Linked DNA regions of Danio rerio. Each later gene encodes a partner of the first gene's protein in a complex. Links are inferred from orthologs where the notes say so. Each region holds a gene or a part of one and is shown on either strand. Other genes may lie near its edges.

Region 1 (4,193 bases):
TCACATGATCTTGTTGCTGATTTGGTGCTTTTGAATTCTAATTTATCAGAGCTAAAAACAATGTTAAAAAGTTGTGCTCCTGGACCTTTAAAGTTTGAATAGATGACCATAATAGTGTGTGTCACCTGCTGATATTGCCAGCTCCATATTCTGAGGGTGCTTTTGTAGACATTGTAGAAGAACATCCACAAGTCCAGCCTTGTTAAACACGGACACTGCTGTGCTGCTGCTCTCACTACACAACCAAACAAACAAAAAAAGACAGAAACACAGATAACATGAATTGGTACTTTTTAAATGTGGCAATTGATCAAACTAACTATAAGTGTCATTTTCACCTTGCAAAATACAGCCAATAAATAAAGCATGATGATATGCTGTCATATCACAGGTGGTGACAAAATACACATACATGAAAAAAAAAATGTTAAAGCTAATATTAACTAATTTTGTTAATATACATGTGAGGTGTAAACATCAATCAGTGTTGACCACCTATTTGTGACTTGGTCCTTGCTTTCAGTTTAAGTTCATTCTTACCAGAGGTTCCAAAGTAAATTGACTGCTTCATTGGCGACATCTTCCACTGAGGTTTTCTGTCCTTTCTTAGAAGGAGAGTTCACGCCAAAGCCTGCACAGCACTGTTCTCCACAAAAACACACAACACAGACACACACTTATTAAATAGAGCTTTTTACAATATAGCTACACATTAATGAAATGGCAAAAATATCATATCAAGATTATGATCTAAAATCCTATTACAATTCTTTCATTCTGTTTCACATGTTACTAAGCAGTTCAGCCATCCTACCTGCCCTATGACCCCGGATGTGCCTGTGCTTTGTTTCAAACGGAGGAAGTTGTGCACCGGTAACAGAGAAACACATCAGCGCACAGTGCTTGTGAATGCACACCCTATACTGACACTGAGGAGAAGAAACTGTTGAATAAACTTGTTATTTTTGTTGTAAACTAAACTATTCTTGTAGCTTTGTAATATGATATTTTTTTTTGTTTCTACACTTAATTCAGTAACTTTGCTATTTATGGAGGAGGATGGAGCTCTCAGATATTACCTAAAATATCTTCATTTTTGTTCTGATCATGAATGAGAATCTCAGGGGTTTGGAACAGCATGAGGGTGAGTAAACAAGATTTTTATTTTTGGGTGAACTATACGACTTCATGTTGATTTTATGTTGTCATGCAAGTAACAGTTTGAACTGAGTTGTTTCAGCATTCATACCTCCCTCAGGAGAGCAGACAGAGGCGTCAGCACATCCTGTCTCACCATGTCCTCACATACTTCAGGACCTCCACTGGCACTGAGATTCCTGTAAATAAATAAGTGTAGTTTTACTAAATTAACCTAGCAATAATGTTATACAATAAGCTGATTGTAGGACTAACTACTGCAGGAGAAATTCTTAAATTCTTAAAGTCTTACATATTTCATTGCAGGTTGTTGTTAGAGGTTTTAAGGTGAAAAACAGAAAGAAAACCATTTTATGAGAATAAAATACCCTGGTTATTTCTTTTAATTCATGTCTCAGAAATTCTTTTTTGTAATTTCACCACAGTAAAAACAAATTTTACTGAGATTAAAACTATCATTGCTTTTTCCTGTAAGCATGTCAAAGCTGCTGATGCTAAATTAAATCTGTTTGAAAAACTTAAGCAAATCCATAACAGAAGGCTATTGCCTTTGTTTGGAAAAAAAAAGCCACCATAAAATATTTCATGTTCACCAATATGGATGAGAACAAAAAATACATGAGAAGAGACTAGACTTCAAATATGAAATAATTAGCATAAAGATGACACAAATATTTATTACACCGCTAAGTCTAAAATACTTAATTGTGATTCATTAGTCATGTCGTGCATTTCCAAAATCCGTTTGATAACAAACTGTAGTCTGTAACGGTGACAAATTGGATTTTGAGGGCTTGTTACAGTTTTTACGTTTAAACAGCTACTAGACTTCAGTATAAACAGAATTGTTATACTGCTTCTTTTTTACTGAATTCTATCAAAAAAATTATATGTATATTTTGTGTTAAATTTTATTTACTCATGTCATATGCATGTGTTTATGAATCAGAATAATTAAAAATAATCAGTTGGTTGTATCTGATGAATAATTCCTTCCCTTTGCAAGAGGGTCCTGATTTATCCGCTCAGGGTTTATACTGCTATAGCAATCAGATGGCTGTATATAATCCATTAATTAACATATGAAGAGTTCAGATGCAAAAACATCTAAAAGCCATTTGAAATGTCCTTCAACTCTAAGCATTTTTATCATGGTCCTGTCTGTAGGTTCAGTAATTTCAAGTTTATGGCAAAAAATACACTCCACTAAAGGTCTTTAAAATAAAATAACTCTACATAAACATAGGTGTCTGAAAAAAGTACTCATTTTCTATAGAAATTTCTGACGGCACAAAGAGGTTTTTGTATCTGAACTCTTTATATATAGTCTGCATGAAGTTTCAAACTGCTTGCAATTCAAATCATGTTGTGTAAAATGTGGTCTGATTAAAAATAACATTGGCAATTACCTACAGCCAATGAGAGATCAGCATCCACTAGTTTAAGTACGTGCAGGCCGGCGGGAGGTTGAGGGAGAAGTTAAAGGCACTCATTTCCAGTTTATTTTGAACCATGAAATGATGGACAAACTAGTGTAAATTTGGCAAGAGCACCTGTTTGACGTGTCATCTGAGCAACTGGGTCAAAAAAGAAAAAGCCAGGGGCCTCATGTGCAAAGACTTGCGTTGAATTAATACGAAAACATTGCGTACGGACAAAGCTGTAAATGTGCGTACGCAGTAAAAAAATCAGATGTATGAAACACTGCATACGCGAAATCCCACGCATATTCTCTTTGTACATCCAAATTAACATGAAACTGAGCGCAAGAGCAAAAAAACCCTCCCAGCCTCCTCCCCCGTATGAATATGGTAATGACTACACTTTAGCAAAACCAAACAAAAAAGCAATGGCAAAAGCAAGTAAGAAAAGAAACTTCACAGAAAGTGAATGGGAGGTGCTCCTTTAGGAGGTAAACCGGAGAAAAATTGTGTTATTTGTAAGTTTGTCCTGTGGAATTAATAACAAAAGAAAACAAATTGGGATAGTTTAGCTGATACAGTTAACGCAGTGGGGTCTGAAAATCGCACTGTGAGTGAATTAAAAAAGAATTGGTCTAATGTAAAGGTGCAGGTTAAGATGAGAACAACGGTGCACCGTCAAAGTGTGGACCGAACAGCCCAAAGAACATGGGATGCTGAACTAACACCTTTTGAGGAGAGAGTTGCCTAAATTGTGGGCGACACTTTACTGTCTGGAGTAGTATCTGTGTCTGTGGGAGACACAGATGTATTAGAGGGACACTTTGTTAGGGCGGTAAAACAGCACTCCTCTGCTCTCAAGGCAGTGCCACCGGCATTTCAGCTGCCTAATTGCCCGCTCTACAACTGATGAGTGCAAGAATGGGCATCATTGTATCTGCACTCTTGGTCAGTTTGTGGGTTGTTGAGGAGTGTTAACAGCTACGACTTTAATGGATAACCGCGGTCTGCTGATATGCAGTTAAATAATTATGCTCAATAAAAATGAAATAAAATAAAAAACTTAGCTGGAGGCGATGCAGTGGCGCAGTAGGTAGTGCTGTTGCCTCACAGCAAGAAGGTCGCTAGTTCAACCCTCGGCTGGGTCAGTTGCTGTTTCTGTGTGGAGTTTGCATGTTCTCCCTGCATTCGCTTGGGTTTTCTCCGGGTGCTCCGTTTTCCCCCACAGTACAAAGACATGCAGTACAGGTGAATTGGGTAGGCTAAATTATCCGTAGTGTATGAGTGTGTGTGTGTGTGTATGGATGTTTCCCAGAGATGGGTTACGACTGGAAGGGCATTTGCTGCATTAAAACATGCTGAATAAGTTGGCGGTTCATCTCGCTGTGACCCCGGATTAATAAAGGGACTAGGCCGAAAAGAAAATGAATGAATGAATGAATGAATTTAGCTGGAATAATATCTTTAAATACATAACTCACCAAGAACTACCCATCGCGCACCCTGCCACCTGGGAGCCTTCGGATTTGACCATTATCAATGTCATCTAAAAAGGCCAACACCGCCATTGCCATAGACTAAGGGTTGCATACATTTGCACATGCATTTATATGT
Region 2 (3,919 bases), on another chromosome or scaffold:
AGTTTCATAATTCAAGAAAACACACTTACATGAGTATTAATTGGATTATACTTTATATTAAATTATATGAACATTCTATTAAAGTGCAGATTTTACCCATTAACAGCAAGATTTTTCTAATTCAATACGTATTTAAGCTTTAAAAATTATGTATTTTATTTTCGGCTTAGTCCCTTTATTAATCCGGGGTCGCCACAGCAGAATGAACTGCCATCTTTTCCAGTTTATGTTTTATGCAGTGGATGCCCTTCCAGCTGCAACCCATCTCTGGGAAAGCTTTAAGTTATTATTTTATACATATTTGTCACATCACAGATCAGAATAACAGTAGGTTTCATTTTCACATAACACTAAATGACAATACAGCGTTTTTAACTCATATTTTTAATTTCACAAAAGTTATTTAAATCACTAAACAATTTAATTAGATTTAATTTGATTGCTGTAATTAAAAATCACATTTGTGAACTTAGGTAGACACTGAAATGGGATGTCTCCTCTATTTGATGGTATAAGATAAATCTAATCATATTCTTTTCATTAAAATTGCTCAAATACTTTATTAATTGAATCTTAGCTTCAATTTTTTAAGGTGATATTTTAGCTTTATAATTCTAAAATACACATTTGATGATATTTTATATTACATTATAAGAACATACTATTTAAGTACAAATGTTACCCATTAACAGCAGGCTTTGACACATTTATACTCATTTTTAAATAACTTTGGGGATGAAATATAACCTCATTATTCACAATATCCAACCAGGAACTGATGGCAAATCAGAAAGAATTTTAATTTAATGTGAAAACACAATTACGAATGAATAACAGGAGTCAATATTAGATGACATTTATGAAAACGGTTCAATGATCTTAATCCATGACATATGTAGATAAAGCCTAAACACATAAACAAACCCGATTCCTGTACTGAATCAAACTCCAGCCGCAAGGCACTCAAAGTCATGACTTAAGAGAAGTTGAGTCGTGTGCAATATTTATTATATTCTACAATAAACATCATAAGTCCACCACACTGCTTTAAATGTTAGCGCTTTCCTTGCTTCATCTGAGGTTTGCGCCCTTTGCCTTTAGGAGCTTTTCCCTTTCCTCCAGGTTTTCCTTTGCCTTTTCCTTTACCAGGCATGCCTCCCTTGCGTCCCTTCTTTCCAAACCCTTTCTTATTATTCCGAGCAGACTCCGAGTCCTCTTCCCTCATCTGCTTATTCACAGCTTTAGTGATATCGAGACGGGGCTTCTTACTGTCCATCACCTTCAATAAATCCAGCTGTTTTTGCTTCTCGCTACTGAAGTCCCCAATAAGAGGCTGGAATTTCCTCTTCTTCCCAGTGTTTCTGGCTGGTTTTTCCTTGGGCAGCTTCTCCTGGAATTTGCCAACCGATGCGGTGGATATTTTGGCCAGACTGACCGCTTGTGCCAGCTCCGCTTTGGTCTGCTGGGATGTAGGCAGGAGTCCTGTTCCAGGAACCTTGACCTTCTGAGCTCTGGCGATGTTTTTGAGTCTGTTGTACTCGTTTCTGGCCACTCTTTCCTTTTTGGCTTTATTCCTTTTGGCGAACTGGTCTTCGTTTGGATCTGCAGTCGCCGGGACCTCAATCAACCACTCTTTGGTGTCATCTTTGGCACGTTTATACCCCCATCTCCTCTTCCACTCCTTGTGAACTTCATCCCAGACCAAGTTGGTCTTCTTTTTCTTCTGAATGCCTTTCAGCTTGGCAAACTGTTCCCATTTAGTAGGAGGCTTAGGTTTCGGTGCTGGTTTTTCTCTGGGTAGTTTAGTGGTCGGTTCTGGCAGCTTGGCGACGATCACTTCGTCGACTCTCTCTGTGGGTAGTTTCCATATCTCGTTGATGAGAAGTTGTGTGTTGTCTCGCGCTAAAGAGCGAAGACAGTCCTCCCGTTTGTTGCCTTTAAAGTCCCGTGTGTCAAGTCGGTTCTTGTCAAACGCCAGCAAAAGTCCCGGGTCGAATTCAAGATCCAACTCTTTGAGCACCGTAATACTTTTGAGCTTCTCAGCCTCGTCTCTTTCAGCTTTAGCGAGCACGTCTTCAATACTGCACGAAGCCATTTTGGTTCTACTGACAGACAACGTGGGTTCCCACATGTGCCGCTAAAAGCGGAAGTCTGGTATTTCAAAATAAAAGAACTAAAAACTAACTTAAAAAATAAAATAAACATTTCAAATGAGTTAAAGAAATATAACAATCTTTAAACATGTTTTAGCTAGTAAAACGTTTATCCTAAGTGTATATGTTTATGATACTAACTAACTTACTTCGGACGAAAGTTGTTCGGTCGAATGCAGGAGTAGCGATAAACCGACAGGACGTCCCATCGGCTCTGTGGCGCAATGGATAGCGCATTGGACTTCTAGATTGTTGAATGGGGTCATTCAAAGGTTGTGGGTTCGAGTCCCACCAGAGTCGACATTTTTGTGATCAGAATCAATAAAGTGGCCACATGCCAGAAGTTACCTGAAGTGCTCGAAGACATGATTCAAACGAACCTGACTCAGTGATTCAGTTTGTGGATGCGTGAATCTTATAGCCGAACCGAACCGGTGGGTTAAGCATACGGAGCAAATGGTTCGTTTTGATAAAATATTAAATTTATTTAGATATATATCGGTTCTGTGGATGTGTAACCTGGGACAAATGATTGGTTTCTAAATGCCAGTAAAACCTATAAGTGAAACCCATAGTTGTGGTAGAAATATTGATTTATTTATTTTGTTGCAGTTATACACACGCACGGTTGTATTTGTTTTATCATCGACCACTACAAATATCTAAAAATAATTAATTATCCTTAATAATACTTAAATTGTGTTTTTGGTATGATTTTAAAACTGATTTTTTGGATCTGTTTGGATTATATTATTACTGAACAAGTGATACTGAACTGATAATATGATTTCTGAACTGATGCCAATGTTATTCTTGAAAATTCTAACAGAAAAAATCTGGAAATTGCCTCTGCATACAGTATGCAAACAAAAACAAACTTGTTATTATTATTATTATTATAATTATTATTATTATTATTATTATTATTAGTAGTAGTAGTAGTAGTAGTAGTAGTAGTAGTAGTAGTAGTATTTGCATTACTGTTCAGTTACGCAAACAAAATGATCTTTAATTGTAAAATAACAAAAAACTCAAGTCTCCGATATAAAAAAATGAATGTGCTAAAAAATACACTGAATAAAGTCTGTCTACAACAGTTCGAATCAACTTGTTCAGATTGGTCGGCTGGTGAGAACGTCATATCCGCTGCTCGAGTTTCCCCGGGAAGACACTTTGGCGCGGAAATCTGTTGTTTTGGCTTCGCCCTTTGTAAGGAGAGAGAAATTCTACCTCGACTCAACCGCATTTTATATCAATGGCTCCTGTTTCAAATCCCGATAAAGACATGGACGGCGGAGATTGTGGTGAGCGTGTTTACAGGGATTAGTGTTGTTAGCTAACACAATATTCCAGCTTTCAGCTTAGCGGATGCATGTAGTGTACTGACAGCGCTAATGCAACATGAAATACAATACATTACATTGATTTATCTGAGCTAACTTAATCGTTAAAATATGCAAATACATTACCGTGTATCATCATTTTGTCGAGTAAACGTGATGTTTCGGTCCTTAAACATGAAGTTTGAAGCTGAACATGTCAGTATTAAGGCTGACAAATGTTTCTCAGTTCTCAGCTAGCGTTAACGTTACTCTTTCCTGGATAATACTTTAGTGCTTCTTTGGAAGACGTTTATGTAACATCCCAGCGGATGCCCAGCACTGGAAAAAGAAAATTAATAAATCATAAACAATAATAATGTAATATACAGTGACATAATAACACTACTACTACTTACTGCACTACTAACACTACTACTACAATAT

What was found. Proteins that work in one complex are often made in the same cells at the same time.
Region 2: heatr3 (region 1) and rrs1 share a complex: the UniProt entries of both Homo sapiens proteins name them as parts of the hexameric 5S RNP precursor complex. The link is inferred for Danio rerio from reciprocal best matches to the Homo sapiens genes HEATR3 and RRS1.

What each region holds. Positions count from the first base shown.
Region 1 is NC_133182.1:38,126,508-38,130,700, forward strand, and holds part of heatr3 (HEAT repeat-containing protein 3), read right to left. Parts: intron 1,338-4,193; coding exon 1,250-1,337; intron 642-1,249; coding exon 541-641; intron 236-540; coding exon 126-235; intron 1-125. UniProt on the Homo sapiens protein: Plays a role in ribosome biogenesis and in nuclear import of the 60S ribosomal protein L5/large ribosomal subunit protein uL18 (RPL5). Required for proper erythrocyte maturation.
Region 2 is NC_133199.1:27,758,061-27,761,979, forward strand, and holds rrs1 (ribosome biogenesis regulatory protein homolog), read right to left. Parts: upstream 2,105-3,919; 5' UTR 2,096-2,104; coding exon 1,055-2,095; 3' UTR 777-1,054; downstream 1-776. Other genes in the region: pola1 (DNA polymerase alpha catalytic subunit), read left to right, coding at 3,409-3,457. UniProt on the Homo sapiens protein: Involved in ribosomal large subunit assembly. May regulate the localization of the 5S RNP/5S ribonucleoprotein particle to the nucleolus.